4 linked regions of the Alligator mississippiensis genome follow. The protein of the gene in region 4 binds, or shares a complex with, the protein of the main gene of each other region. Links are inferred from orthologs where the notes say so. Each region holds a gene or a part of one and is shown on either strand. Other genes may lie near its edges.

Region 1 (7,655 bases), on a different chromosome or scaffold from region 4:
CTCGGAGATGCCCGCTGGAAAGGCTCCGCTCTCTGCGGAGAGTCCCACTGCAGCCCTCGGGCTGTTCCCTCAGAGGCACCGGGTGTCGGCTACAGCCCGGGGCGGGGACGTGGCCTGGGCTGTGCCAGGGCTCCTGTGGGGCCCCAGGCTGGAGGGGCTCGTCCTGCTGCCCCCTCCCCCCCCTCCTCCCCGACTGGTCAGAGCTGGGGCGGGCAGGAGTCTGACCCCACGGTCGGACAGGGATGGACGGCAGGTGGGGGTTGCTTTCCTTCCTCACAGTGGCCACAAGTAGGGGGTGCACATGGGTGCACCCCCTATGAAAAGGCTGGTGGTGTCTGCAGGGGGTCAGCAATCGTGACTGGCCCCTGCCAGCGGTGTCTGTGGGTGGTCATCAACCCCTGGGCAGTGCTCACCACCTACAGCAGCATCTGCAGGAGCTCCCCACTTACTGCCGCGGGGCTCCCACCGCGGTGCCCCCCGCAGCGGGAGCATAGCCCTCTACCTGGGAGCTCCTGAGCACATACTGAGGTTTCAGGTGGGTAGGACACAGGGTGCCGTGGTTCCCTGCTTTACCTGTGGCAGGTTAGGGTATTAGGTCCGTGTTGCACCTCAGTTGGTTAGATGGAGAGTTTAGATTATGGTTGTATGGGATGGTTTGGACAGGGATGACCCTGCCTCAGGCAGGGGGTTGGACTAGATGACCTTCCAGCCCTGCTTCTTCAGGATTTTGCCTCATGGCTTTTCAAGTCTGAAACAGACCCAAAAAATAAACCAGCTCAGCCACTCCGTTCCTACACTTTGAGGCCTTATTTTGCCTCTTGCGCTGTTCTTTCCCCTTAGCTCTACCTTCAAGCAGTCCATGGCCGCCTGCTTATACTGAGGTTTTCCTGACCTGCATATGACTTTTTGCCCTGTACCACCACCCACCTCTATTGCTCCTACAGTTCATCACAAATGTACACGTTTTGAGTAGAGTTACCACAGAAAATAACACTTCCCTATTCTGGAGGTTACCTTGAAACTGAAGAAAGCATTTCTTTACTTGTTCTGCAAACATGTACAACATGAGTTTTAGGTCTTGAGAGACTGTTTCAGCGTGAAAGGGGAACAGAGGGATTGAGGTCATGGAGGTCAGCTGGTTAACTGATAGCAGGGGATTTTTTTCTCTAAGGATCAGCAACACAGTAGATTGGACTCCTATGGAACTTGGTATGTTTGACATAAGGTTGATAACTTATTTAAGGTTTTTTGTACAGGGGGAGGAGTTGGAATTGCCCAGTAGAATGAAGATATTTACTGAAAAAAATGTAGGTGGTGTACCCCAGAACTGACCAGAGTAGCTAGTCTATGGTCCTATACCACAAGCTCATCACAAAATGAAAATGTATACCTTTCCCCTTGCCCCATGCTGCACTTTGAAGACAGGAGGAGCTCCCACAAACATCTGCAAAACTGCTGCAAAAACTCTTCAGTCACAGCTGCAGTGCTGTGACTCCTCAGCAGAAAAGGAAAAGCCTCCTTCTATTACTTATGAGCCCCTTGTATGCCAGCAATATCCATTTGCTGTGCCCATGAGACAGGGCTCTCTTTATTCCATGTTTATGCTGTGCCTTGCATAATAGTGCCAAGATCTATGATTAAGGCACTACACCACACTATAAATATGAAGTAACTGACACAAGCTGTGTCCCTGCTGTATCTTTTAGCTTCCTAGCACATCTATTTATTCTGGTTTATGCTAGGAAAAATATTCATGTCATGGTGTACACACCAGATTAGATGCACTGAAATTTTCATTTTGGAATTTCATTGGGTTATGATTGATATCAGTGTTTCTGAAACAAAAATACATAAACAGACGGTTTACTAATTACCAGAGGTAATCTGGATCTGCTGCCCATAACTGAAGGCTTGTTTTGCATCATATCCACACCCTTATTTTAAAGTTTCTCACATGGATGTGGTGTACCATTATGGGAAAGGGGCACGCTTGAAAAAGACTGGTAAAGAGAAGTATTTTATACCAAGAATAATATCCTCCAAGATCAGATAAGTAAATTATATTATTATTAAAGAAAAAAACCTCAAAGCAATGTCAAATAATCTTGAGTTTCCAGTCAAGCAATATTTTTTTTCTTTTTTCCAGCATCAGAAATAGTAACCGAGAAGAGGCTAGATGAACACTCTTCTTAGAAGAGTACTCTTTCCTGCTATGGCAGGGGGTCGGACTTGATGATCTGCTCAAGTCCCTTCCGACCCTACCAACTATGAAACTATAAGAGCAGTGTGATCAAGGTACCACATAAAAAAAGCCACACAGGAAACAGTAGAACCTTGCAATTTCACACACTATAATCTGCAAAAGTCGCACTGTTAGCTTGCTACAGAAGCCATTTTCCTCATTGTTCCAGCGAGCTCATATTACAAAAATTCTTTCCTTGCAAAAACTACATATTTACTCAAATATGACAAGATCCCCCCCATCCGCATGCAAAAGAAACCTCTTGTCTTATATTACAAAGCAAGGGGGAGGGGAGGGGGCAGGCAGCTGCTGCAGCTCCGACTGGCCCTGAGCCTATGTCAGTCCCACAGCAGCTCCCTGCCCCCCTTCCGCTTCCTCTCTACTCCCCTTCTCCTCCCCTCACTCCCTTCCTTCCGCTATCAGGCATAGCTGGGCTCTGGCTGCAGCTGGGGTCTCTCCCAGGCACAGGGCACATAGAAAGTCTTTCCCCTGCCCAGCAGCACACATGCACTGCTGTGTTGCCTGCCTGGCCAATCAGCAGCACTGGTACTACTGCATGGCCAGGCAAGGGCTGAGCTTCCAAGCACTGTGGCCTCCATGGCTAAGTACAGACAGTCAAAAAGCCTGAGGCTGAATCGATTCAGTCTTTGCAGGTTAGTCTAAGATTCAGATATTAAATTGAAACACAAGTGAACAGACATTTACCTTTGATTCAGGAAGTGCCACATGCTTGTAGTGGCTCAGTCCAGAAGCCCAGAGCTACTAGAGCATGGCTGTCTGGCTGTGTGTTCACTTCCTTTTCCTGCTGCCCCCGAGGTCTCTGGGATTTGCAGTCCAAAATCAAAGCAGCAGGACTCTGCAGGGTGCTCATCACTTCCTCTTCATGCTTCCAGGTAACTCTGAGGTACTTGGGAGGGGAATTTCATCCCCCTCTCTGGCCCCAGGCCCCAGCTGGGGCTTGCCTGGGGAGGGGCAGTCCCATCCCCTCTGCAGACTAGGCTACAGCCCCAGCCAGGCTTCCCCCCACCCTCTTATATGGTGGCTATCATAGAAGACAGTCCAGATGTCCTCTGTCCTCTCTTGATACAAAACCAGACACCTGTATGTCCTCTATTTTTCTCTTGAAGAGAAAATAGAGGACAGGATGTAAAGGCGTCGGGTTTCGTATCAATAGAGGACAGGACAGAGTAGCAGAAAACCGGAATGTCCTCTATGATGGCCATCCTACCCTCTTATCAGCCAGCCCTCAGTGCTCCAGCTAGGGAATAGAGGGGCAAGGCTAGCCCTGCTTTCTGGAGCAGACAGCACAGCACAGCACAGCCCAGGGTGACAAAGCATTAGGGGGTACTGTGATTTAACTTGGAACCAGGAAGGGGTCTGGGACAGAAGTTTCATAAACTGGTTTGACCCAAATCAGTTAAGTCTGATGCTACATTCAACCAAGTTTATTTTAAACCAGTTTCAGCCACTTTGAAGCTGGTTTATATGCACTGAGCTTTTGTTCTGTTACAGGTTTGAACCAGTTTTTGATCACCTAAACTGGTTTATGTGCAACTTAAGTCCCTAGCCTGTGAACAGCCTGAGCAGTATCTGACAGTAAGGTGGGGAGAGAAGGAGGGGAAGACAGAGACTGCAGGGAAAGGCAATTTTTCCATATACTGTATAGAATCTAAGTATTGGGAGGCAGGGGGTCATCTTATATTCAGGGTCATCTTATTGTGAGTCACAATTATATGTTATATTCAGGGTCATATTATCTTCAGGGTCATATTATCTAATTTTGTGAGTAAATACGGTGCTTTGCCATATTTACTCTTTATAATGGTTCATAGCACACAAGACTAAAGCTGCAGTTGTCCAAAACAAAACAGGAAAGTCAGTTTTGTGATGTGATGTCACTATTTTCTCTCAATTATTCACTTAGTCCCAAGCTCCAATACCTATGCTCACATCAAATAGCACTTCAATCAACCAATGGTCCTATTGATTTGCTGAGTAAGATATTTGAATATAGGTATCTGAACTGGACTTTTCTTTCCTCATTTTCATTGGAGCTCAAGATCATTAGAAAGGTTCTGCTTTACCATGTTTACGACTTCAATCTTGCAAATCCTTACTCCTTTCATTGGCTTTAACATCCCTACTCAAACATGCAGCTTTTAGATTTGCTTTTGGTCTCCAGCCAACACTCAGATGATCAATCCCAATCCCAATGGGGACAACGCATATAAATGCCTGCAGATACAAGTCTTTAACATGCACTGTATTCATCAATAATAATGTCTCCATAATATTACATAGGCGACAGAGGGGGCAGGGGGGCACGTGCCTGCCCTGAGAGCACTGGTGCCTCCCCACAACAGCGAGCGCTTTGGCTGGTAGGAGGGCATGGAGCTGGCCACCGGGGGACCCCACCCCCGGTCGTGCCCCACTGGTCCCCCCGACTCGGGAGGCACCAATCGCCCATGTAATATTGTATGCACATCTTAATTCAGTTTAATTTTATTGCTATTCTTGCTTATAAATCAATGAAAAACAAACAAGGAGAAATAGCAGGAGCTTTTGAAATCTTGTGATCTTATTTTAAGAATAGCTCCCAGATGCCTTCAAAGGATTTTTGCTTTACGGTCTACAGACTACTCTTTCAGGTGAGATTACTTCTGCTAATACAGAAATTATTCTTGGCAAGTTGTAACTGGTTCCAGTCCTTTGAAAGGATTTGACTATCGCAAACAATTATATGGTGAAGCTGATGCAATACGAACACTGGTATTATGGCAAGTTTTAGGCTTCTATTATAAAACATTTTAAGAGAGACACTTTGTAGCTCAGGAGTGTTAGACTTGCATTGTCCCACAGGCTGGAGGAGAGGTGCAGGGCCACTCTGCAGGCCATGCCAGACCTACACATCAGTCCACATTCCAGTCCTGCTCCAACTGCTGCACATGGCAGTTGCACATGGTAGTTGCTCTATTGCTCTGCAGATGTGCAGGACCATGCAGCTCACCCTGCATGCCACCTATGGGTCACACCGAGACCCGTAGGCAGCACCAGGGACACCCCTGATATAGCTGAACAGCAGAATGCAGGCAACCCTTGCTTAATGTGGTTTTGTTATAGCGCTCATTTAAAATGCCTACCTAGATACACTCGGCGCTGAGTGAATTTCATTATAGCGTGGGCATGGGGAGAAGCAGTAGTGGCGGTGGCAGCAGTGAGGGAAGAGGCGAGTGGCAGCTGGCAGGAGCCCAGGAGCGGGGAGGAGCAGTAGCAGCGAGAAGGGAAGGGTGGGGGGCCAGGCAGTGTGAGCTTGGAGCCCAGGCCAGCAGGGTCCAGGAGCACAGGGTCCACTCCGGCATGTGGTGCTGGACCGGCCAGCGGGCGGGGAGGAACAGCGGCAGCAGCGAGAAAGGGTGGGTGGGGGACATGAGCGCAGGGCCTGGGCCAGCAGGGCAGCAGGAGCATGGGGCCCAAGGCCAGGGCTGGCAGGAGTGTAGAGCTTGAGCCAGTGCAAGCCAAGCCCACAGAGCTCCCCTGCACGCGAGCTGCAGTCCGTGCCCTGTTCCGCTCCAGTCATACCTGTGGGGTGCAGCGATCTGGTCATCTCCAGTCATACACTTGTCCCGAGCCTGCAGCGATCTGGTGGTGGCAGCTCGTCCAAGTGCCGGGTGCCCTGGAGGGAGCCCTCGCTGGTTAAAGTGGGGCGCAGACAGGTGGGTAGCCCCACTGCTTACCCTGCGCCAGAGCCCCGACTCAGGCCCAATGGCTGGGGCAGCTGGGGCTGTGCACAGGTGCACTGGTGGCCAGCAGGTGTGGTCCGGCAGGGGTCATTGCGGTGGGGGAACAATGAGGCCAGGAGGAGCTGATGCCTTCCCTAGCAGAGCCTGCATGATGTCTTGCCAGGAGCGGCCTGGCCAGGAACGTGGGGCCCAGGGTGGGGCTGCAGGAGCATTGGGTCTGGGTTGGCAGGTGGTGCAGTACCAATTATCTTTATTTACATTAAATCCTATGGGGAAATGGGTTCCGCTTAACGCTGTTTCACTAAGTGGGTGTTGCCTGTGCTTTGTTGTCCCACCATCATTATAAGACCAAGTTACACTATTATGGGCACATCCACACATGCAAGCACATGTGCTTGCAGCAGCTCAAATAGAAGCAGTACAAATTTGAGCCAAGGCTTTTTGCCTCAGCATACGTGCTTGGACATGAACTTTGTTGCGGAGCAAATTGTGCCATTTAAGGCAAAATAACCCTGCCTGGCTCCTCCTGGATTTGCAGCCAGGGGGAGCTAGAGCTCAGGGCCAGCACCTGTGCTGTCCCCAACAGTATGGCTGACCCACACAGCTCCACCCCCCACTCTCCCAGACTCCCACAGTGGCTGCCCTGCCTAGTCCCATCCCCCACACCCCCATGGCTGTCCCCCCCAGCCCCAGGCACCATCACTTTAAAAACAAAACAAGAAAAAAAAAAAAACAGACCCCCCCCCTTACCTTAGAAAAGTAGGGGCTGGGGGGGCTCTGGGGCCTCCTGGCAGAGCCCTCCTGGGCAGCACAGGGCAGGAGGGCCCCGGCTGGAGCTGTTCCTCTGCCCTGTGCTGTGGGGGCTGGGCCCCAGCGATAAAGACGGCAGCTGGACTGCCAGTAAGGCCCCGGGGGGGGGCGGAGGGATTTGGTGTGGGGATCCAGGAGGAGGGCTTAGGTCAGGCAAGGCTGGGAGGGCTGAGAGAGCAGGTGGGGCCAGCAGGGGTCCCCCCATAGTCCCCTCCCCCCTCCTCCAGCCCCCCCAACCCCTTACTTACAGCATTGGAGCCCTGGTGCTGCGCTGTCTGGCAGGCCGCATGGTTCAGCACCAGGGCAAGGGGCAAACCATAGAGACGCTCTGGCAGCCAGAGCATCTCCGTGGAGGACCCAGCCTCCGGTTGCCTCAGGGCAGAGTCTGGGACCATGCCCTGCCCTGCTTTTGTAAACTTTGGTTTTTTTAGACCCCAGGATCTAATTTTCTCCCTGCACTTGTTCCCGCACGTGCCTCTTGCCCCATCTCAAACAGGTTTGAGATGGGTCAAGAGGCGTGTATGGGCTCATCTGGACGCGCCTTATGAAGCCAATAGGAATATATCAGTTTTCTCCAGTGTAAGTTGAATCAGCCCCCTTGTTCAATATGGGGTCAGAACAGTAGCAGCCAGAAGCCATTTAAATCATTCCTATAGCAAATTTAAATGTCCTGTTATGAAATCTACAATAATCTCCTGCATGTTGTATTAGCTTTCGCCACACCTCATTGAGGACATTTTTATACATGCAAGAACCTCAGTGCCAGGTGCTCTGAAAAGCACCAAGCGCTGTTGCTTACAATTATATAAGTGGCAAAATGCACATCAGTGCTGAGAAAATGGCAGTAGCATGCTTTTGAACTA
Region 2 (7,651 bases), on a different chromosome or scaffold from region 4:
TTAACACTGCCCAATCTGATGCAAAATAAGGGAGCATGCAGAGACCCGACCCTAGGATTTACCCTTAACTCTGTCCACCAATCAAGTGAAAGAGAAGGGAGCCAATCAGAGATGCTGACCAAGGTCTGCCCTTAACGCTGCCTGCCAATTAGGAATGAGATAAGGGAGCCAGAGAAGCTGGCCAGGGTTTGCCCTTAACGCTGCCTGATGTTCAGATGTGAAATAAGGTACCAGAGACTGAAACCCCACAGTTTACCCTTAACTGTGCTGACCAATTACATGAGGAATAATGGGCCAGAGACACTGGCCAGGGCTTACCCTTAACTCCACCAATGGAGTGACACATAAGGGACCGTTTAAAGAGGCTGGCCAAGGCTTGCCCTTAACTTTGGCTTGTTATCTCACATCCGATTGGTGGGCAGAGTTAAAGGTAAATCCCAGGGTTGGCCGAGTGGTCCCTTATCTTGACTCTGATTGGGCTAAATTAAGGGTAAGCCCTGGACAGTGTTGTTGATTCCTTTATCTCACATCTGATTGGTGGCAGAGTTAAGGGAAAACCATGGGGGTGGCTCTCTGATTGTCCACCAACTGAACGAGATAATGAAACCAATCAATCAATTAGAGAGGCCAGCAAAGGTTTACCCTTACTCTACCCAGCAATCAGACATGAGATAAGGAAATTAGAGTCACTAGCCAGGGATTAACCATAACTGTCCAACCAATAACAAAATAAGGGCCCAAACAGAGAGCCATCCCCAAGGCTTACCCTTAACTCTGCCCACCAATATGATGCCAGACAAGAGGACCAATCAGAGACCCAAGCCCAGGATTTACCCTTAACGCTGGCCAATTACCGCATATCCACTCAGAAAGGCTGGCCAGAGCTTCTCCTTGACTCTGCCCACAAATTAGATGGGACCAGAGACCCAAGCCCAGGGTTTACCCTTAAATCCACTCAATCACATGACAGCTAAAGGGACCAATCGGAGGCTGACCAGGGCTCACTCTACCTCTGTCCACTAACCAGATGCCAGATAAGGCAGCCAATCAAGGACACAACCTCAGTTTCCCCCTTAACTCTGCCCACCAGTCCAATGCCAGATAAGGCAATGAATCAAAGAGTCAATGCCAGGGCTTACCCTTAGCTTTTATGTAGTTGAGGAGAGTGAAGTTAAGGGCTGGCCAGGGCTTACCCCCTTAACTCCACCCACCAACCAGGGCCTGGATGGCAGTTGGAGCCAGTTGTTGGTTCCTGTCCAGACATGGAACGGGGGGGGGGGGGGGGGGGGGGGGTGGGGGGGGGGGGGGGCAGAAAGTTCCATAGCAAGCACCTAGAAGATGCTGTGAGGTCATTCCCTGCCTGACCTCACCTCCACAGGCCAGGCTGCACCTCTAGCCCTGCCCCCTCACCTTGGATCCACGGGCCTGGTCTATGCCCAGCTCCTGGGCCTTCTTACGCAGATCATCCTTATCAGGTCGGTCACGCTCATGGTCCCTCTCCTTCTCCTTTGACTTCTTGTGACGGTACCGGATCTCCAGTGATGGATCCTTCTCTAGGGAGAAAAAGAGACCCAGCAGTCTGGGCCGGCCCTCGCTGCTCTGCTCCACCCAGCTCCCCCAGAGAGAGCCCAGGCATCAAGCTCCTAGCACCTCCTGCTCTAACACTCCCAGCCCTCACTCTCCTCTCAGAGAACAAAAAAGCATCTGGGCTTCCAGCAGCCAATATTCTCAAGGGCCAGGCCCAACTCTCCTCCTCTACCTGGGGAGAACCCAGGCCTCTGGCTTTCAGCCCTACCTACTCTCACCCTCCAGTTCCCAGTCACCTCCTAGAGAATCCAGGTGTCTAGGCGCCAAGGCCCCTTACCCCACTACTCTCACTCCCCCCGCCCAAAAGAATCCAGGCATCCAGTTCCCAACCCCCCTGGTCTAACCCACGAGCCCCCACTGCCCTCCCAACGAACCCAGGCATCCAGTCCCTCACCACGGCACTGTAGGCAGTACCACTCCCGAATGGCCTTGGCCATCTTCTCCGTGATATTGATGCAGTCACCATGGAACCACTCATTGCAGTTGTCACACCCACTATGGGGGGGCGGGGAAATAGAGGAGCAGGAGGTGAGACCCTGCCAAGGCCATGCCCCCCACCCCAAATCCCTGGCCCCATCCTAATCCTTGGTTTACACCCAACCCCACAGTCTTCCTGCAATGGCACAGACCCCAACCCCATAGTCTATCCTTGTGGAACAGGCTGACCCCCCCCCCGCCCATTTCCAACATCTCTGGCCCAATCCTATGGCTCCAGCCCTGCCCCCCACCCCCACCAGCCAAGGGCACAAGCCCCACCTCCATGGCTCAGGCCCCGCCCCCAAAGCCCACCTCTGGGCAACAGGCTCCCCTCAAAGCAGAGATTGCCCCCAATCCTCATGCTCCCCCCACACACAGGCTCAGACCCCGTCCCCACCCTCACGGCCCTCCTCCTTTCACTCAGACCCTGTCCCCAGGCTCAAGGTCCGCTCCCTACTGCCCCACGTGGCTCAGGCCCCGCCCCCCGCGCACATCATGAAGCAGTTGATGTCGGGCTTGCGGCAGATGCAGTAAACGGCGCGTTTCTCCCCATTTTCCGAGCGCGTCTCCTCGCTCGCCCCGGCCGGCTCCGCGTCCGAGAACTCGCTGTCCTGGGGGCGAGGCAGGGTCAGGGAACCCCGGTGTCCAGGATTCCCCTGCTCCGACCCCCCGCCCCCGAGAACCCAGATGTCCGACACACCCCTCCTCTCAAGAACTCAGGCGCACGGTCTCCTAGCGCCCCCCTTCACGGGAATCCAGGTGTCCGAGATGCCCCCCCAACTCCCAGAAAACCCAGGCATCCAAGCCCCAGCCCTTCCCCCCACCCACACAACACAGGTGTCCGGGACCCCTCACCATAGCTGCCGCTGAGGGTCCCTTGTTTTGCGAGGAACCAACAAAACAAGGGACTCGAAAGAATCTCTGACTTCCGCGGTACTTCCGCTTCCGGGTCATCCTGCCTGCCTCGAACCCCTCCACTGATCATCACCCAGCGCCTAGTCGCTCCTCTGCCCTCTTCAAACATGGCCGAGGTCTAAGAGCGGCGAAGGGACCGGACTCAAGGTGGCCGAGGGTGCCCGCCTTCAAAATGGCCCCTCCTTCCAGCAGAAGCGCTCCGCTTCTCCACCCGCACCAAACATGGCCGCCACCGCTTCTACTATGTGGCCGTCTGACTTATGACACTGCGGTGTGGCCATCTTTGATTGTGTCAAGTACCAGACACGTTGAATCGAACGCCACCCAACGGATTGGACGGATTGAGTCAAAGAAAGAATGATTTGAGGGAGAGATGGATTCAGAGGTGTCTACAGGGAAGGATAGATGGATGGGTAAATAGAGGGAGGGATAGAACGGGTGTAGCGATGGAGAGATGGATCGGGGTTGAGTATGGGAATGGATGGAGATATGGGGTATATATGGGGAAGGACAGATGGCTAGAGATGCAAAGGTATGGGGGGAGGGGCATGTTTAGGGATTGATGAAGAGATGGTTCCAGGCACGGCTGTCCTTAGGCAGCGGGCAAGCTGGGGCAGCCACCCCCAACCCGGCACTTTGGGACCCCCACAGAACTGGGCAGAGCGGCCACGGCAACTGAGTGCTGCTGCTGCCGGCTTCATGTCTGGCTGCTCGGAAATCCCCGACCCCCCAAATCCACCACCAGCTTCTTTGGGTCTAGGGCGTGCAGGGGCAGGGCCCTGCACAGGCTGCACCCTGCTTGGGTCATCTCTGGTTCCAGGGATATGATGTGGATGAAGGGAGGGATGGATATGGATCTAAAGGAGTGTATGGGGATGGATGCTCAACCCCCACTCCCCTCCCTAAGAACCCAGGTGTCCAAGCTCCCAACCCTGCCAGCTCTCCCTCCCCAGTACCACCACTCCCCTCCCAGAGCAGGAAGAGAACCCAGGTGTCAGGGCTATCCACCCTTCCCATTCCTGCCCCCAACAGCAGTGAGAAGATGCTGGGTGGGTGATGGCTTTATTGGTACCAAGCTGGAGGGAGGACGAATGCCCAGACAATAGGGGTTCACTCCAACATAGGGTGCCATCCTGGTGTCACGCAGCCACCTTCTGGTCCCTGGTGCCAGCTGTGGGCAGATTGGGGGGGGGGGGGGGGGGGGGGGGGGACAAGCAGGGTACAGGCACCCAGCTCAATGGGGGCCCAGCACTGGACTTGCCCTCCTTGGTGGTCTGCGACAGAGAAGGTCCTGCCCCCCACAGTTCCATCCACCTGCACCCTCATCCATCCATCCCTCCCTCCCTCCCTCCCCATGCACACCCGTGTCCAGGCATCCCCTCATCCCATACATACTCCTGTGTCCATCCCTCCCTGTCCATCCCTATACATACTCTTGTGTATCCATCCATCCATCCCTCTTCCTCCCTCCCCTCATCCCCCACTCATCCATACCTTCCAAACATCACCCCCCCACATCCATCCCTCTACACCCCATCCATCCCCATACACACCCTGTATCCATCCCTCCCTCTCTATATCCATATAAAACACCCCTATAGCCTTCTATCCATCAATCCCTATACACACACACACACCTGTATCCATCCATCTGTCCTTGTACACACACCTGTAACCATCCCTCTACCTGCCCTATAAACATCATTCCTCCATTCCCCCCCATACACACCCTTGTATCCTTCCCTCCATCACCTCATCCACCCATCCATCCCTATACACATCCCCCCACCCTATGCCTCCATCTCTCTGCCCATCCCCATACACATCTTGGATCTACTCTTCCATCCCCACCCTAATCCTCAGCCCACATGCCTGCTGGTGCTGCTCCTCCACCCCTGGCCCTCCAGCTCCACCTTCAGCCTGGAAGGAGGAGGGGGGCGAGTATTAGAGAATGCATCCACCTCTGGAGAGGAGCCAATCCCACCTCACCCCACCCTAGCTGGGATGCGGCAAGAGAGGCTGCCAGGCTTGGCCACCAGGGCTGCAGCCTGATCTTGCCAGGAGACCCCAGCTCTCACAGCTGGAAGGGAACCCAGGTGTCCAGCTGCCCAGGCCCCTCTGCTCTCCGACTCCCCTCCTAAAACTCAGACAGAACACCGGTGGCATCTGGGCTCCAGCCCCAGGTCTCCAACCCACCAAGCCTACACTCCTTTCCTGGAGCTAGGGAGAACCCAGGTGTCCCAGCTCCAAGTCCCCCTGCTCAAACCTACCAGGCTCAACTTCCCTCCCAGAGCTGAAAAGGACCCAGGCACCTTCCAGCCCCATTCTAACTTTCCAGGTCACACTCCCCTCCCAGAACTGGACAGAACCCAGGCATCCCTCACGGTTGCATCGCTGCAGCCCCTGGCAGTGGCGTTGGGTGGCAACCTCCAACTGGGAATGGGCACCTTGGTTCTCCTGCTGCAGCAGCTGTCTGGGGAAGGGCAGAGGGTGAGCACCAGACATCCTCCCACCCCACGCCAGGGTGCCACATCTGGCATTGTATATGGGGGGCCGGAACTGCCTTCTAGTCAAGCCACAGAGCAGAACCTAGGCATCCAGACCACCTGCTTTCAACCCCAAGCTCACACACCCATCCCAGAGAAGCCAGATGTCCTGGCTCCCAGTCCCCGCTGTTCTCACCCACAACCCCCACTCCCCTCCCAGAGAACCCAAGCATTCGGGCTCCTAGTCCCCCCTTCTCTCACTGCCCAGTGAACCTAGGCATCCAGGCTCCCATCCCCTGCCCATTCCCAGCCCCCACTTCTGCCTCCAAGATGCAGTGGGAATCAAGGAGTCCTGGCTCCTACCCTCCCTGTAAAACACAAGACTCCACACCCAGTCAAAGACAGAATCCAGGTGTCTGGGATCTAGGCTGGGGGGCAAAATGACCCTCAACCTTCCCACTTCTGATACCTATTGGGAGAGAACCCAAGCATCTGGGCTCCCAGACCCACCTGCTCTAATCCCGCCAGTCCCTCTTCTCTCCCAGGGAACCCAGGCACTCACAGGGCAGCACTGGCCTCCGGGCTCTTCAGGAACCTCCTCTCTTCACGGCGCCAGCCCCAGCCTGGGCCAGCACATACAACTTTGCTTCAACTGCATCAGCTTGGCCTGGATCAGTTCATCTGGGCCAGTGGGGAGGGTGTCACAGGACATGCCAGGTGCTGTACAGACCCCCCCCAGCTGGTATCAGGGGTACCATGCACTGTACAGACACCCCAGGCCAGGATCAGGAGGCATCAAGTGCTGTACAGACCCCTCAGGCCAACATCATGCCAAGTGCCCCTTTGCTCACCTTCTCTCAGCAGCCGCTCCCAGCTGTCTGACATGTTCTGGATCTCAACAGCTAGCTTATCCATGGTCTGAGGAGAGGGGGAATTAATTAACTCTGGGTTAATTACCCAGGGAACTCACGTGACTGACTCCCTGTCTTCTCAGAATGGGGAGAGAACCCAGGTGTCCAGGCTTCCAGCACCCTGTTCTAACCTACCAGACCCCACTCTATTCCCAAAGCTGTTAGAGAACCCAGGTGTCCTGGCTCCCAACCAACTAACTGGGCCTCACTCCCTTCCTGGTGCTGGGAGAAAATCCAGGCATCCGGGCTCCCCATGAGGAGACCCTCCCATGTCTCTTACATGCCCTTCCTGCAGGGTCTTGTGCTTCTCCATCAGTTCATCCAGCTGCTGCTCAAACTCCAGCCTGAAAGCAGAAGAGGGGGTGGCTGTGGGGTACAGGAATTGTACCCAGCCACGGCCAGAGATGCCCTGGAGTGTGTGGTATGGCAGGAAGTGAGGGGTCAGCTGGGTGGGGGCACACACATACATGCACATACACTCAGAACCTAGGTGTCTGGGTCACACACGTGTGCACATGCACAAAATGAGCCCAAGGCATCCAAGCATATCACATACACACACACTGACCCAGGTATCTGTGTCTCACATACACATGCAGAACCCAGGCATCTGGGTCACAAACACATACACAAATGAATCCAGGTCAAATACACACACAACTGAGGTGTCTGTGACACACAGAGAACCCAGGCATCTGGGTCACATGCACTCACACAGGACCCAAGGATCTGGGTGTCTCACACACACACACAAATGAACCCAGGTGTCCAGGTCTCTCTCTCTCTCCGTCTCATATACACACACGCATGATCCACATGTTCAGGTCACACACACACACACGCACGCACAGAACCCAGGCACCTGAGTCTCTCTCTCATGCACACACACTAGACTCAAGCACCTGCCACACGTGCGTGCGTGCGCGCACACACACACACACCCCCCGCCACTCATGCAGAAAAGACCCAGGCATCTGGGTCTCTCTCTCACATGCACACACAAATAAACCCAGTGTCCAGGTTTATCACACATACACATGCATGCACAAGCCAGGCATCCAGGTCACACACACACACACACACACACACCCACCCACCCCCAGGCATCTGGGACATACCCATGTGTGCACTCACACACTGAAGTGTGTGTAGGAATGCAAGACTGACTAGAGCTGGGACAGAACCCAGGCATCCAAGCTTCCAGCTCTAACCCACCCATCCCAAGTGCACTCCCAGAGCCGAATAGTACACGTGTCCTGGCTCCCAGCCCCTCTG
Region 3 (7,175 bases), on a different chromosome or scaffold from region 4:
CCCAACAAGGCAACTGATCTGGTCTGATGACACAGAGGATCCAGCAAACTTCCCCAGGGAAGTAAGTGATATAGTACTTACTGGCCCTTGCTACCAAAAAGCCGTCCTTACTTTCTCATCTGAATTTATTGGGTGATAAATATATCAAAAACCAAAGTATTATCCTTATATTACTCCAAGTCTAGTACTGACCCCTGCAGAACCCAACTGAAACACCCTTCATTGACAAAATACTGTCTCTCAGATTTTGTTTTAATCCCCACACACCAATCTCCCATATGCCAGAGAGGTAAAGGTTAGAGAGTAACGGAGAGAACAGAAGCTAAACAATAAAGGCAAATGAGACAGGGAGAATCATGAGTCCTAGAACAAAGGGATCCACACCAAAAAGATCCCTTCCCCTGTGGGAAGCAACTGCCCATTGCATAGGTAACCCAGGAGAAGCCAGTGACAGACACTGACTAGAAAGAGGCAGTAAAATCGAACAGGCTGATTCACCTGTTCCAAGCTCAGCTACCAGAGACCTCGTTCAAACACACGTAACTTGAAGAACCCAGATTTGTAAAGATCTCTTTTACAATGAGATTGAAATCTACTAAGGAGGAGGGAGGCTTGGCTCTTACGCATGTTCCAGTGCTTCTCAACCAGGGGCCTGTGCTTTCCTTTTAAGGGTGCAGGGCACTATTAGCATGGTCAGGTGAGCAAACACCTCCATGTGACCGCCAAGAGAAACCCAAAGACTTCCAGTAGGAATCCAGTGTGTCCAAACCTGCCTGCTCTGCTGTGGCTATTCTAAGTTCTCTGCAATGGAAGAATTGCTCTAGTACTTTTCTGAAGTTGAGAAGCAAGTGAAAGATGATCCAAAGGGAACCTGGAGTCCAACACGGTTGAGAGCCACTGCATTCCATACCGATTCTTAGAGCTTTGTTCTCATGTTTTTCTTCGATCTCTTAAGGGTGCTCTCTCCCAATTACTTAGCTTTAGATGTCAGGTGTAACAAAGAGAAGGGAAAGAATTGCAGAGAGACCTGTAAATTGTGAGGCACCTCTTTTGGGTGTCGAGCACATCACTGGTGCAACAAAAGCCATCACCCTAAGAAATCCTTGTTTCTCACATAATTTTGGACCATAGTGGCTATGTCACCCTCACTGTATCTTTAATACAAAAATTGCTTTCCTAATTTTTTGCTCTGTTCAGGCTACAGGGCAACGCCCTGTACAGGGCAAACCCCCCCGCCCCCGAAGACAATGGGTCCTTCACACCCAAGCCCTTTCATAGAATCATAGAAGTACGGTCAGAAGAGACCATGCAGATCTTCAGGTCCGACCCCCTGCCTGGGCAGGAAGAAAACCAGGCTCGACCCCAGCCAGGTAGGCATCCCAGGCTCCTGAGACTCACCTGGGGGGCAGTGACCACTGGCTGGTGTCCTCTGCTTAGCGGCCCCTTTTAGATCCCTCATTAATAAGCTACGACTTCACTCCCACCTCTGCTTCTTCATTTTTTGCCCCCTGTAATTAGCTATTGTGTCCTCAGTGGCCTCCTTCATGGAGGGAGGCTCATAGTTTTCTTTGGCAGGTCTTGGTTGACCATCCCTTCAGTACAACAAATAGGCCTTACTAAACTATCCCATTACAACAGATCATAGAACTTACAGAGCAGTTGGGCTAAAAGGGACCTCTGGATATCATACTTAGTCCAACCCCCAGCCTGAGGCAGGATCAGCCCTGTCCAAACCATCCTCAACAAATCTATGATCTAAACTCTTCATAAAACTGCTGTCAACCTTGACACCACACAAGACATCACACCTGAACCAGCTCCAGGTAAAGTAGGGGGACCATGAGCTGAGATTCCTTGCCTCTCTGGGCAGCCTGTTCCGGAGACAGACCCCCTTGTGGTCAGAAAGTTCCTTATCTCCAACCTCAATGTCCCCTACCATAATTTAAGATAATTGCTCTTTGCTCTGTCCCTGCGGCCACAGAGAACAATTTACCCCCATCTGCTGCAGAATGACGCTTCAGATATCTGAGAACTCCTCAGCCTTGTCTTCTTCGGCTAAACGCCCCACAACTACACAAAACCAGAAGCACCAAGGACTCCTTGGTAGTGGCAGAGGAGATGAAGGCCTGGCCAATGCCCTGCCCCAGAAACCACAGGGGTATTTATGCCTGCTGGGAAAGTGTCCCCCAGCCTGGAGTAGGCCTGGGCTTACATGGCAGCGTCCTGGTGCCGTCGCGGTGTGACAAAAAGTGTGCGGGTGGGTCGGGCACTGCTGGCGTCGGGGTGGGCGGTCCATGGCTTGGCGTAGCTGTGGTCCAAGAAGACCAGGTCCAGTTCACGCTCATGGACAGAGAGCTGGAAGAGCAGAGAGGTCCCCATCCTGTGGGCTGACGTCTGGAAGTCGCGCTCAGTGGCTCGGCCCCACATATCTTTGTGGGCTTCAGCCCCGCATCCTGCTGCCTGACTTAGGAGAGGCAGGGGGTGAGCAACAGACAGGGAAATGGGCCTGGTGCTCTGGCCCCTTCTCCCCTTTCACCTGTGGCCCTAGAGACCCCAGCAGCGCCCTGTGTCCCTGCTGCCCAGGAGTTCCCAGCACCCAGTGGCCCACGGCCCGTCCCCACCGCCATGATGACCCTGACTCCGCCAGCCAGACCCATACCCATACCCAATACCTCCTGCCCTCAGCGCTGGTGACCCCTGCCCACAGCACCAAACTGCTCCCCGCTACGTCCCTGGCCCCAGCACCCCTCCCCCACAAGGGTCTCCATGACCCAGCTCCTCCTGTCCCCAGGGCCCTCCGATCCCTGCCACCCCCGTGCCCCAGCAGCCATGAGCCCCGCATCCCATGACCCCAGCGCCCTCCCCACTGCTCCCTACTCCCAGTCCCTCGTGACCCCTGACCCCCGGCCCCGGCCCGGGTCAGACCCTACTCACAGCCCAAGGCCCGCGGCCGCCTCGGGCCTGGGCTTGCCGCCTACTGCGCACGCGCCACTGCCCGGCCGGCCGCAAAGCCCGGAACGAGGAATTCCCGGAGCGGAGTCTCCTGCCTGCTACGCATGCGCCGACCAAAAAGCCCGGAGTGTGGGATCCACGGAGCGGAGCCTGGAGCGCGGCGGGGCCGGGGCCGGGGCCAGCAGGGGAACGAGAGCTGCCACCTAGTGCCCAGGGCAGCGGCGTGGCTCTGCCTGCGCCCACCCCAGCCTGGCCCAGCAGCACCCACAAGACCCAGGCCCAGATGTCCAAATGCCACCCCTGGCAGCCAGCTCCAGGTCCTTCTGTGAAAGCCCAGCCCGCCCCTGGTTTGGCGGGACAGCACCGGGGCTGCCTGGTGCATACAAGGTCCCCCAGCAATGGAGGGAGAGTGTCCCAGGCTTCTGGGTCTTGCTAGTCACCATGTCTAGACCCAGCACTCTTTCCTCTAGACCCAGCACTCTTTCCTGCCTATGCAGGGGGTCGGACTCGATGATCTATTGAGGTCCCTTCCGACCCTAACATCTATGAATCTATGAATGTCAGGTGGGGAAGGCATTTTCCTCTCTTCTGTTGCTACAGGGATGGCGGGTTTCCCTCTTCCTCAGCAGCACTGGGTGGGCCTTGGCTGTGGCCCAGGCTGGGGAGGGCAACTGGGCTTGGCCAAAGCTCTCGCTGGGACTCAATGCTGGAGGGTCCTAGCTAGAGGGTCTTGCCTGGAGATGATGCCCCCAGAGCCCCCAAATCGCAGCACTGCCAGCTCGTGGCCACGCTGGAGTCAGTGGCACCTGCTCAAACTGGCCCTAATCCCTCCCGAGTGCCACCCCCTCCCAGGCTGGCCCATCTTCCACCCCCACTTCAACTTGTCACCCTGATCCCCCCTGGTCCCCTGCTACTGCCACGGAAGCAACAGCTGCCCTGCCCATGGCCACCAGGGGGCGGGTACACGGAGGCATGATGCCACCTCGTGGCCAAGGGCAGCTCTGCATGGCTGCCTGGGCAAGAGCATTGTCCCCCCAGCAAATACAGGGAGGGTCTTGGCGTTTCCCAGGGCTCTGCTGGGAAGGTGACTGGGCTGGGCCTGTACTTCTGCTGGGACTCAAATCTAGAGGGTTCCGGCTAGGTCTTGCCCCTCCACTCAGGGTCTCATTGATGCAACATTGAGGTCAGAAATCTTGCCCACCCCTGCACCAAGTCACACAGGTACAAAGGGGGGGGGGGGGGAGGGGGGGGCTTGGCTTCCTCTGCAGCAAGGGCATAGTCTCTGCCTGAGGTCTCTCAAGGGCACTGAAGCCACCCAGCAGCAGCAGGGTACCACCAGCCCTCTCCTGGATTCACCTGGGACACAGCCGGGGGCTCTCAAGGTCCCTGGAGTGTTGTGTGGTGTTAGGAACAGCTCAGACAAGGACGTGTCAGCAGGGGTTGGATGGGGCTGGTCCAGCCTGGCTGCCCTGTGAGTCTAACTCTGACCACACTTGCTCGAGTCAAGCTCTAGCACACCCACTGCTCTCCTCCCATCCAGAACCCCTTGCCATGTCCCAGAAGGCCATTGTGGACAGCTGAGACATGCCTTAGCTGTTTATATGCAGTAGGGACCTAGAAAAAGATCAGGCTGGAAGGGGCCTTACAAGGTCCCATCCAGTCCAGCCCCCTGCTGTAGGCAGAATCAGCCTTCCCTAAAGCAGTTCATCCAAGTGTCCATCCAACCTGCACTTGAAAACGTCTGGGGAATGGAAATTTCCCCCCCCAGCAGCCCATTCCAAGGCTGGATCCCAGTAGTCAGAAAGTGCCTCATCTCCAGCCTCAGTTTCCCCTGCTGCAGCTCGAGGCCATGGTTCCTAGTCCTGTCCCTTGCGGCCCACCTCCATCTTCTCTGTCGTCATCCTTCAGGGGTTTGAAGGTGATCAAATTGGCCTCACTCTTCATTTCCCCAAGCTACATCACCCCCGTTTTTTCAGCCTTTCCCCACAAGGCGGGACACTTAGCAGTCTCCCAGGAACAGAGGAAAGCCTCATTCATGGCACTGTGCCACTGGCCCCTAGTGACTACTCACCCTCCACACCCCTTGGAACAAGAGAGCACAGAGCACTGTGGGATGCCAGAGGACCAGAAGGAGACCCATGGGCTGAAAGCCAAGGCAAAAAAGTGGTAGGACCACATCACCTCTTGAGCTAACACTGTCTGCTAGTTGCCCAGGTCCCTGATGGGCATATCCTCAAAGGGATCCTGTCAGAACCAAAAGCCATGGTAGTATCCAGTCCTGCACCCTTGTGACATGAAGCCTACTGGGGGGGCAGGGCCAGAGCAGAAAGAGGCAGGGCTTAATATGGGCCACACCTGCCCCAAAAGTTGATCACTTGTAGCAATCTCTCAGCAGCACTGGATTTTTCCCTTCCCCTAGAAACTGGGTGCATGGAATAGGCGGGAAACATGGGCACAGGGCTGCCATTTGGTAGGTGAAACTAAGCGCCAAACCTGCTGCAATCCCCAAGAAGCAGAACACAGAGCAGGCCGGGATCCCTGGTTGCTGCTACTCCAGTACTCGGTACAAGAAAAAATCTTTTATTCTTTGCTCTGCCTTTCAAAACCAAGGTGTATTATATTGCAGACAATATGATATAGGAGCGCCCGCCTCCTTTGAAAGGGCCTGTTCCTGACCCTGTCACACACACAGACACGCATGCACAGAGACCCACACATTCAGTCTGTCACACCCTCACAAACATGCAGTCATACAGATACATGCATATTCAATCCATCACACTCAAACATGCAGTCATGCACACAATACATATGCACAATCCTACCCTTGCAGTCACATGCACGTTCGCTCCATCACATGCTCATAAACAGTCACACAGACACAGACACATTCAGTCCATCACACACTTGCATGTACTATCATATATGCAGACACACCCGCATTCAGTCCATCATGCACACACACATATTCAGTGTATCACACACTGACAAGCACGCAGTCACACAATGTGCACTCGTACAGACACGTACACATTCAGTCCATCTCACACTCAAACAGTCATACTCACCAGTGTCGCACACATGCTTACTCAGACACACTTGCATACCCAACTCCACTTGATTTAGCCACAGGTCCCCTTCCCTTCCCCTCCCCTGCCCTGCACCGGCTCCCAAGAGCCAGGAGACCCCAGGGGCTCTCTTCCTCTCAGGCAGGTTTATCACCGAAGTCCACAGCACGATTGTGAGACCCCTCCAACATGCTCTGACTTTATATAAAGCCCCTTCCCATAACACATTGCTACACGAGCCCTGTCAAGGGGGACAGCATCAGATCCCAACAGTTCCATGGTCCCAAGGTCCGGATCATGTGATGCTTTCCCTTGGCCCTTTGTCACGTGACTGTGGGATCCGTAGCTATGGTGGATCCTATGTGGGTGGATCACATGTTCCCAGGTGGCCTGGTACATCACACCAAGCCCCTATGTCCTGGCCCAGAATGTCTTGGCCAGAGGCTACAGCTTGGTGGGGCGGTGGAAGCCGTGGGGGGAGGCATAGGCAGGCTGGCTGTGCCATGTGGCGACAGGATAGAGGCGGTGCCGCTGTGAGCTGTCATACGATGTGGGGTAGTGTGCCAGGCTGGTCGCCAGTGGCCGGCACAGCTCAGAGGCCTGGGCAGAGGCAGTGATCACAGGGCCTGGGAAGGCTGGGATGACAAAGGGACTGAGGGATGGTGTGAGTGGCGATGATTCCCTGGAGCCAGCCAAGCTCAGTGGAAACCTCAGCATCGTCCCTGTGTAGGCATCTGGGCCGGGTGGTGGCAGCAGTGTGGGAAAGCCAGGTGCCACGGCCTGTGGCTTGGCTAGGCCAGGCGAAGCCTCCCGCGGCTCTGCCTCCCTGACAAACGGGGACACGGCCCTCAGCTTCTTCCCAGGGCCAAAGCTGCCATCTTCTGGCCCACGTTTGCCCAGCCCCGGGCTCTGCCCAGGCTTGGATGGCTGAGGGCTGACTCTAGCCAAGCTGGTTATGGGAGCCACCCAACAGGCTTTGCTGGCAGGGAAGGCCAAAGCCTTGCTGCCTTGCCGGAAGCCCGTCCCCTCCAGGGGCTCTCTGAGCTCCCCCCGTGGGTGGTCAGACAGGGGTGGGTCCTTGCTGGGAGGCTGGCAGAGGAAGGAGGCATCAGGGAAGCCGGCAGGGGCCCGGAGTGGGCGGCAACTCATAGGCTT
Region 4 (7,121 bases):
CATATTGGATAGTTGTTTGGAGACACCAAATAGTTTTTACCCTCAAGCACAGATTTCGGTACAGAAGGCAAAATGTAAATGCTAATGACACAGTTTCACGTATGCCAGACTGCAGGAGCTAAGATCAGACACGGTGACTGCAATGTAAAGGGTCTCAAACGGTTCTAATTTCTCCAGTGGAGACTTTGGCTTCTGCTTTTTTAAAATTACACTGCTCATCAGAAAAAGCTACCATCCCCACAAGGGCCACTGAAATGCTTACGCCCCAGGAAGATCAAAAACCAATCCAGAAACTGGGCTGACTAATAGCTGTGAGAAACAAAACACGCTATTCATCATCACATTAGCTTGCGATCCACAGCAGAGAAAAAGCTTGATATTTGCCAGATGTTAAAGCAGGAGGAATGTCTGGGGTGGGAGTGAGAAATGACCTTTTTAAAAAGGTATCACAAAAAATGTAAGAAATTAATTTCTTTGCAGTTTGCTGCCCATATAAAGGCAAGCACGATCAAGTAACAGACCAGAACCGTTGCCATTTCTGGAGGGTGTGGGGCTTACAGTGGCCATCTGCGTGTTCAACAGCATTCCTCCGAGTTGCCCCTCTCCTCTCTTTCCCAGGCATGCACCTTTTGTTCCAGAGGGAAGTTGTCAGGCATTTGCAAGTTTACCAGAGAGATTTCACCATTATCAAAGGCTGGCACGAAGAGAACTTGATCTACTGCTTAGGTTTAGAGTTCTGGGCAAAAGCTCGCTAAATTCCTCCCTTCAAAGTCCCTCTTGCCTCTTCCTCTCTTATAAGTAACAAAGTGCAATGGAGATGACTCGACTCTCCAAGGCTCTTTCCTATTACCGTTCCAATACAGGAAGACAAAGAATAATGATCAGTGAAATTCACTGCCAGACAGCATGTGCATCAAGCCAAGCAAGGCCCAATTTAAAGGCATAAGCTGGAACTTAAGTAACGGGGAGGGCTGGATGAGATCCTCTCTGTACTGCAGTTAATTTCACATTTATCCACAATCTGTGTGTGTTATCCTGGCTGTGTTTCTGCAGCAGTGTAAGAGGAGCATCCCAAGCCCTTTTGGTCTGGCAATGGGCAGAGGCAATCCAGGATATAATACACCATGACACACACGCAATACTAAGCAGGTCGTGTTTTGTCATTTACTCAGCTTAAAGAGCTAGACGATTGTTTTCTCCCTCCCTCTGATCATGGTAGCACTAAGATACGGTCAGCAAGCTGTCTAACATGCCAGATCCACATTTGGCCAATTCAGACAACAGGAAAGCATTAAGACAGACTGATACTTACAGGAACTGGCTAGCCACTCTCCATTTGGACTAAACTTTACTGACGAGACGGCCTTAGTGTGTCCTGCTAACGTGAACTTTAGAGCATAGTTTGGTTTTACAGGTGCAGGCTGCAAGAAAGATTTGTTCAAATAAGTCAAGTAGATACTTAATTCAATGTTTCAGTTCTAACTGGGATATCTAACAAGCCAGGACACAGGGATGTACAGCATGATCACTGACAGCGGTCTGGATTTATCTATTAAAAAAAGGCGTAGCCCTGTATTTACAGGGGAACATATTTTTTACATTATCTGGCTCAGCGCTGCTTTACTGGACCTACAGAGAAACATCCTCAAAACAACTAGTTAAATTTATCTGAGATGCAAATCTATCCAAGTCAGCCACACAGGCAGAAAGTTGGCCCACAAGCGTGAGCTGAGCCACACTCCATACAGGATTTACAAGTGACCTGCCAAACGCTTTTAAAAATTAGGGTTGTGACCATTTGCATCTCCTTAAACCTCAGCAAGACACCTGACTTTTTCTAGTGCTGCTGAAGGACTCCTCAGAGAGCAGGATTTCAGATGGGCACTGCAAGCTTCACGCCTTGAAGGAATGGAGGAGGGAAAAGGGAGTTAATCCTTAATGAGGACATCCTCTTCCCACAACAATCAAATTTTTCCATGCCTGAATACAGGTGATTTTTTTATTTATTTCCATCCCCCTTCCATTGAAATATCACAAATTGATCAGTTTTCTAATCTCCTTACAGTCCTCCATGGGTACAGAAGACCTTCGGACTCTATGATCATAAGATAGGAGGAGCACAAGGCCATTTTTCTCCTTGGCAAGTCATCTTTACATACCAGTGTTACCTTTTTGGCTGGTGATCATTTCAGCAAAAACACCCAGACACTGGGATGACAGACCTCTTGCAATGATTGTGTTAACTGTCACTAGCAGCAGAAGCAGTTACAGAAACCAAACATCTGACGGGCCTTCTGGATCCCTGTTGGATAGCTGGCAACTCCATTAAGTATTTCAAGAAATCCTGACATCTTTATTTCTCAGAGAGGATTGTGACATTACTCATAAGTCTCTCTCACTACCATTTTACAACAATTACAAGATATACTATGCTACATGTAATTCCCTGAAGCGTTTGAATTAAGGTCAAATGACACTTGCAACGATAAAGCATGCTCTGTAACATGTTCTCTAATTTTCTCACTGCTTGCAAAAATTCAGGATACCATAATGGACTCAAGTGATGCAAGGCAGAGGTTACGTTATACGGACAAAACAAAATTATAGCTCTTCAGGGTAAATCCAGGAATCTCATAGTCAGTCTTGCCCCCAAAGCCTTCAGCATGTTCTTGGCCCTATACAAACCCAGAAAAATTCCCGAGGAATTCCTTCAGAATTCAACTTTTCCTTAAAATCCCTCATCCCAGTTTGCTTGTAAAAAAAAAAAAACCATAGGTAGCTCCCATGTGTATTTACAGACTCAGGATATTGTTCAGAGACCTACACACACCTTGCTCTGATTGGTTGAAGAGGAAGGAGTCGACTGTGTTTTGGTGGATTCTGCGTCTGGTTTCTTTTCTTCTGTTGCCATGGTTCTGAAGCTGGCAAGTCAGACCTATGGTGCTTGAAGGGATGAATGAATGTGCTGCTTCAAAAGGGAGCCTTTCCCACTGACAGGAGAACAGAACTGGGATCTCAAACCTAGGAGAAAATTCAACACTACCGTTAACCACAAAAGAACACTGTTTCAGCACCTAGAAAAGCATCATTCACGAGCGCATAATGACCGTAATCCCCACCCCCAGGAAAACCGATGCAAAGAGCATCTTACGATTCCAACTAGTATCCGAGAGACGAATGCTGCAGACGGAGACAAACAAATGCGCACCAACGCAACAGGGTGTTTATGCCTTCATGCCCATACATTTGTACAGCATACAACAGCACGCCCTACTTCCCTTCTCATAAAGGAAACTGATCCATCAAGCCTTGTGCTACCCGGATGGTGTTGACGCTCTTTTTTTCCCCAGCTGCAGAAACGTATTCTTTTTCTTTGTATCACTGATCCGTGAAACCGACTGCTGCATTTACACCGGGACTGCTAAATCGGTAGCACAGTGGTGTCCAACCTTTTAGGAAACCAGCCCCACACCCTCCCCAAATGCCACTATAATCCTCTTCCTCCGATTCATCCGCTGCTTCGCTTTCTGCTCCCCACCCTGTGCAACTCTGTCTGACCTGCTGCTCGGCTTTCTGCTCCCTGCCATCACATTGCCTAGCCCCACGCCGCTCGTCACAGGTCGGCCAGCCCCGCCCTGGCAAAAGGGGAGGTCGTAAACACGACACCTCCTGAAGATGGGGTCTACACCGCACAAGGACAAGAGTGCCTGGGATGGCTTTTTTGGACTGTATCATTTGGATGACAGGGGTTGCGGTGGTGGGGAAAGGGTTATTTCTCACGCCTGTATCAGCAACAGGACAAGAAGCACCGGCAGACACGAGGGTTTTGTTGCATCAGAGGAGGCAAGAAACCACCCCGGACATTGCTGGGGACCTGAACTCCTCTGCAGGACGACAACAAGCTCCATTTGCTTCGTTCACCGCCCAGGGCAGCGACACTCGACCTTTCCAGCCTCAAGGCTCCCTACGTACCATGTCTAAACCTACTTCTGCATCCACGCTGGGTGCGCTCACGAGGATCGACTGGCTTTGGGCATTTCTGCTCAGCACACACGGGTCAAAAAGGGACGGGGGACCCATTCTTGGATGAAAACGGCATCCGTTACGGGAGCGTGTCAATCGGACCCTTGCGGACCAGCGGTGCCCGAACTTGAACAGCTTGCGTTGTCGATTTAAAACCATGCCTCCCTCCTCCAGTCCCCGCCCAGCCCAAAACTATACCTCCTCCAGTCCCTCCAGCGCAAAACCAGACCTCCACCAGTCTCCCCAGTAAAAAACTATACCACCTCCATTCCCCCCAGCGCAAAACCAAACCACCTCCAGTCTCCCCAGTACAAAACTATACCTCCACCAGTCCCCCAGTACAAAACCATACCACCTCCAGTCCCCCCAGCGCAAAACCAGACCTCCACCAGTCCCTACCCAGTGCAAAACCATACCACCTCCAGTCTCCCCAGTGCAAAACCATACCTCCACCAGTCCCCTCAGCGCAAAACCATACCACCTCCAGTCTCCCCAGTACAAAACCATACCTCCACCAGTCTCCCCAGCGCAAAACCATACCTCCACCAGTCCCCCCAATAAAAAACTATACCTCCACCAGTCCCCTCAGCGCAAAACCATACCTCCACCAGTCCCCCCAATAAAAAACTATACCTCCTCCAGTCCCCCCAGCGCAAAACCAGACCTCCACCAGTCCCCCCAGCGCAAAACCAGACCTCCACCAGTCCCCCCAGCGCAAAACCAGACCTCCACCAGTCCCCCCAGTAAAAAACTATACCACCTCCATTCCCCCCAGCGCAAAACCATACCTCCACCAGTCCCCCCAGCGCAAAACCAGACCTCCACCAGTCCCTACCCAGTGCAAAACCATACCACCTCCAGTCTCCCCAGTACAAAACCATACCCCTCCACCAGTCCCCTCAGCGCAAAACCATACCTCCACCAGTCCCCCCAGTGCAAAACCATACCACCTCCAGTCCCCCCAGCACAAAACCATACCACCTCCAGTCCCCCCAGCACAAAACCATACCACCTCCATCTCCCCAGTAAAAAACTATACCACCACCAGTCCCCCCAGTGCAAAACCACACCTCCACTGGTCCCCAGTACAAAACCAAACCAGCTCCCATCCCCCCAGTGCAAAACCATACCTCCACCAGTCCCCCCCAGCACATTAATTTTTCAGCCCAACCTCCAGCCCCCCCGCCACACGCACACAGACACACGCACGTGTGTGTCTCACGACACAGCGGGTAACAGACGTGCTGATGGGTCGCACGGGGGGGGGGGGGGTGTCCGACCCAGGTGCCGTGTGCCGCACGTGGGCCCGGCCCCCCGGAGCCGCCGGCGCTCCCTGCGGGGGGAACTACAACACCCCCCAACCCGACGGGGGAAGGGCGGGAGTCAAAGGGTCAAAACAGGCCCCCCAACCGCCCGGACGGCGGCTCCCACGAGGACACGCCGCCTCCCTCCCCGGGCCCGGGCTCTTCCCCCGCCCCCGCGGGCGGCGGCGGGACGGGAGACACGCGAAGGGGGGGAGGGGGGGCACACACGACACTCACCGGTGGGGGAGGGGGGGGCGCGGGGCCGGGGGGGGCGCGGCGGCTCTCGCGGCCGCCAGGCGGGGGAGGGGAAGGGGAGGCGGCGCCTGCGCAGTGCGGAGCGCGGGGGGCCGCACAATGCCGCTCGCTGCCGGCCGCGGACGGCGCGGGGAAAGGGACAGAAAAGGCAAGCGCGCCGGCAACGCCTTAAAGAGACAGGCGCCCCCTTTTTTTTTTTTTTTGCTTTTTTTTTCACTCCTTCTCCTCCCTTCCCCTCGCAGGGGAGGCGGGGAGTGTCAGCCCCAGAAGTGCTCTCATAGAGGGCAGCCGGGCTCCCCCATGAGCCCCTCAGGGGCCTGTGGGGCAGGAATGTGGCTCCCACTGGGGCTGGGCAGGGGGGTTTACTTGACTTTTTGCAAAAATATGTATTTTTATAGATAGATATAAATATCTATCTAGACCGACCTATCTAGATATAGATCGATAGATAAATATATACCGATGAACAGATAGTGATAGATATAGATATGCATAGATGGATAGATATAGATAGATAAATATATACCTATGAATATGGTGATATATGTAGATATGCATAGATAGATAGATAGATATAGATAGATAAATATATACTTATGAATAGTGATAGATAGAGATATGCATAGATAGATATAGATATATAAATATATACCTATGAATAGTTAGTGATAGATATATAGAGATATACTTAGATAGATAGATAGATAAATATATACCTATGAATATGGTGATATATGTAGATATGCATAGATAGATAGGTATCGATAGATAAATATATACCTATGAATAGATACCAATAGATATTTAGATAGATAGATATAGATATATAGCTATTGATAGAGATGTATCTATCGATAGACAGATAGATAGATAGACAGATAGATATAACCCCCACCTCCAACACTGCCATGTGACCCGTGTGGTTCACTTGGCAGCTCAAACCACACTAAAAACCCATTACACAGTTCGCGCCGCACAACCGCGCGTCCGCACTCCCATCTCCGGGCTTGTGCAGGGCTTGGCCCGGCCCGCCTGCGTCCTGAGGATACATCTTCCCCAGCTGGCGCCTGGCACGGGCCTGGCCTAAGCAGAACAGGGGAAGCCGCCGAGCCCAGGGAGGACAGCCCTCACCGGACCCAGCCTTGTGGCAAGCTGTGGGGCCGTGCACGTGCTGCTCTGGGCCTTGCTGGATCTGGCCTGTGCATCGATAGGAGGCCAGGAGTCTCCAGACCTGTTCCCATGACTGTAACCAGGCGTGCAAAATGCGCCTGCCCAGTCCAAACCGTTGCTCAACTGGGTCCCGTTTGCATCTGGCGACTGTGTTGGCGTCCTACAGCCCACTCTGGCCTTCTTTAGCAATTATCTTCAGTGTCTCCCTGACGGCTTGTTTCAAATGAAAACCACCTGCCTCATCAACTGTTAACTAAAAACCCATATAGAGGAGGCTTAAAAGTCATAAATCATTTATGCATGAAGCCCACAAGCTCCTGGAAGAGTTTGGGGATGCTACACCAAACATATGGGTCAACCGCTGGGAAG

Evidence for each region.
Region 1: WDR5 (region 4) and YEATS2 share a complex: the UniProt entries of both Homo sapiens proteins name them as parts of the ADA2A-containing complex. The link is inferred for Alligator mississippiensis from reciprocal best matches to the Homo sapiens genes WDR5 and YEATS2.
Region 2: WDR5 (region 4) and CXXC1 share a complex: the UniProt entries of both Homo sapiens proteins name them as parts of the SET1 complex. The link is inferred for Alligator mississippiensis from reciprocal best matches to the Homo sapiens genes WDR5 and CXXC1.
Region 3: WDR5 (region 4) and KANSL3 share a complex: the UniProt entries of both Homo sapiens proteins name them as parts of the NSL complex. The link is inferred for Alligator mississippiensis from reciprocal best matches to the Homo sapiens genes WDR5 and KANSL3.

Annotation. Positions count from the first base shown.
Region 1 is NC_081830.1:41,937,596-41,945,250, reverse strand, and holds the start of YEATS2 (YEATS domain-containing protein 2), read right to left. Parts: upstream 3,010-7,655; 5' UTR 2,948-3,009; intron 1-2,947. UniProt on the Homo sapiens protein: Chromatin reader component of the ATAC complex, a complex with histone acetyltransferase activity on histones H3 and H4. YEATS2 specifically recognizes and binds histone H3 crotonylated at 'Lys-27' (H3K27cr).
Region 2 is NC_081831.1:27,528,965-27,536,615, forward strand, and holds the start of CXXC1 (CXXC-type zinc finger protein 1), read right to left. Parts: upstream 3,019-7,651; coding exon 3,002-3,018; intron 2,770-3,001; coding exon 2,557-2,769; intron 2,083-2,556; coding exon 1,982-2,082; intron 1,554-1,981; coding exon 1,411-1,553; intron 1-1,410. Other genes in the region: synaptonemal complex central element protein 1, read right to left, coding at 6,070-6,146, 6,317-6,383, 6,657-6,720. UniProt on the Homo sapiens protein: Transcriptional activator that exhibits a unique DNA binding specificity for CpG unmethylated motifs with a preference for CpGG.
Region 3 is NC_081830.1:10,566,584-10,573,758, forward strand, and holds the start of KANSL3 (KAT8 regulatory NSL complex subunit 3), read right to left. Parts: upstream 3,019-7,175; 5' UTR 2,935-3,018; intron 2,465-2,934; exon of another isoform or gene 2,461-2,464; 5' UTR 2,428-2,460; coding exon 2,213-2,427; intron 1-2,212. Other genes in the region: ARID5A (AT-rich interactive domain-containing protein 5A), read right to left, coding at 6,465-7,175. UniProt on the Homo sapiens protein: Non-catalytic component of the NSL histone acetyltransferase complex, a multiprotein complex that mediates histone H4 acetylation at 'Lys-5'- and 'Lys-8' (H4K5ac and H4K8ac) at transcription start sites and promotes transcription initiation.
Region 4 is NC_081835.1:61,654,640-61,661,760, reverse strand, and holds the start of WDR5 (WD repeat-containing protein 5), read right to left. Parts: upstream 3,003-7,121; 5' UTR 2,912-3,002; coding exon 2,831-2,911; intron 1,422-2,830; coding exon 1,313-1,421; intron 1-1,312.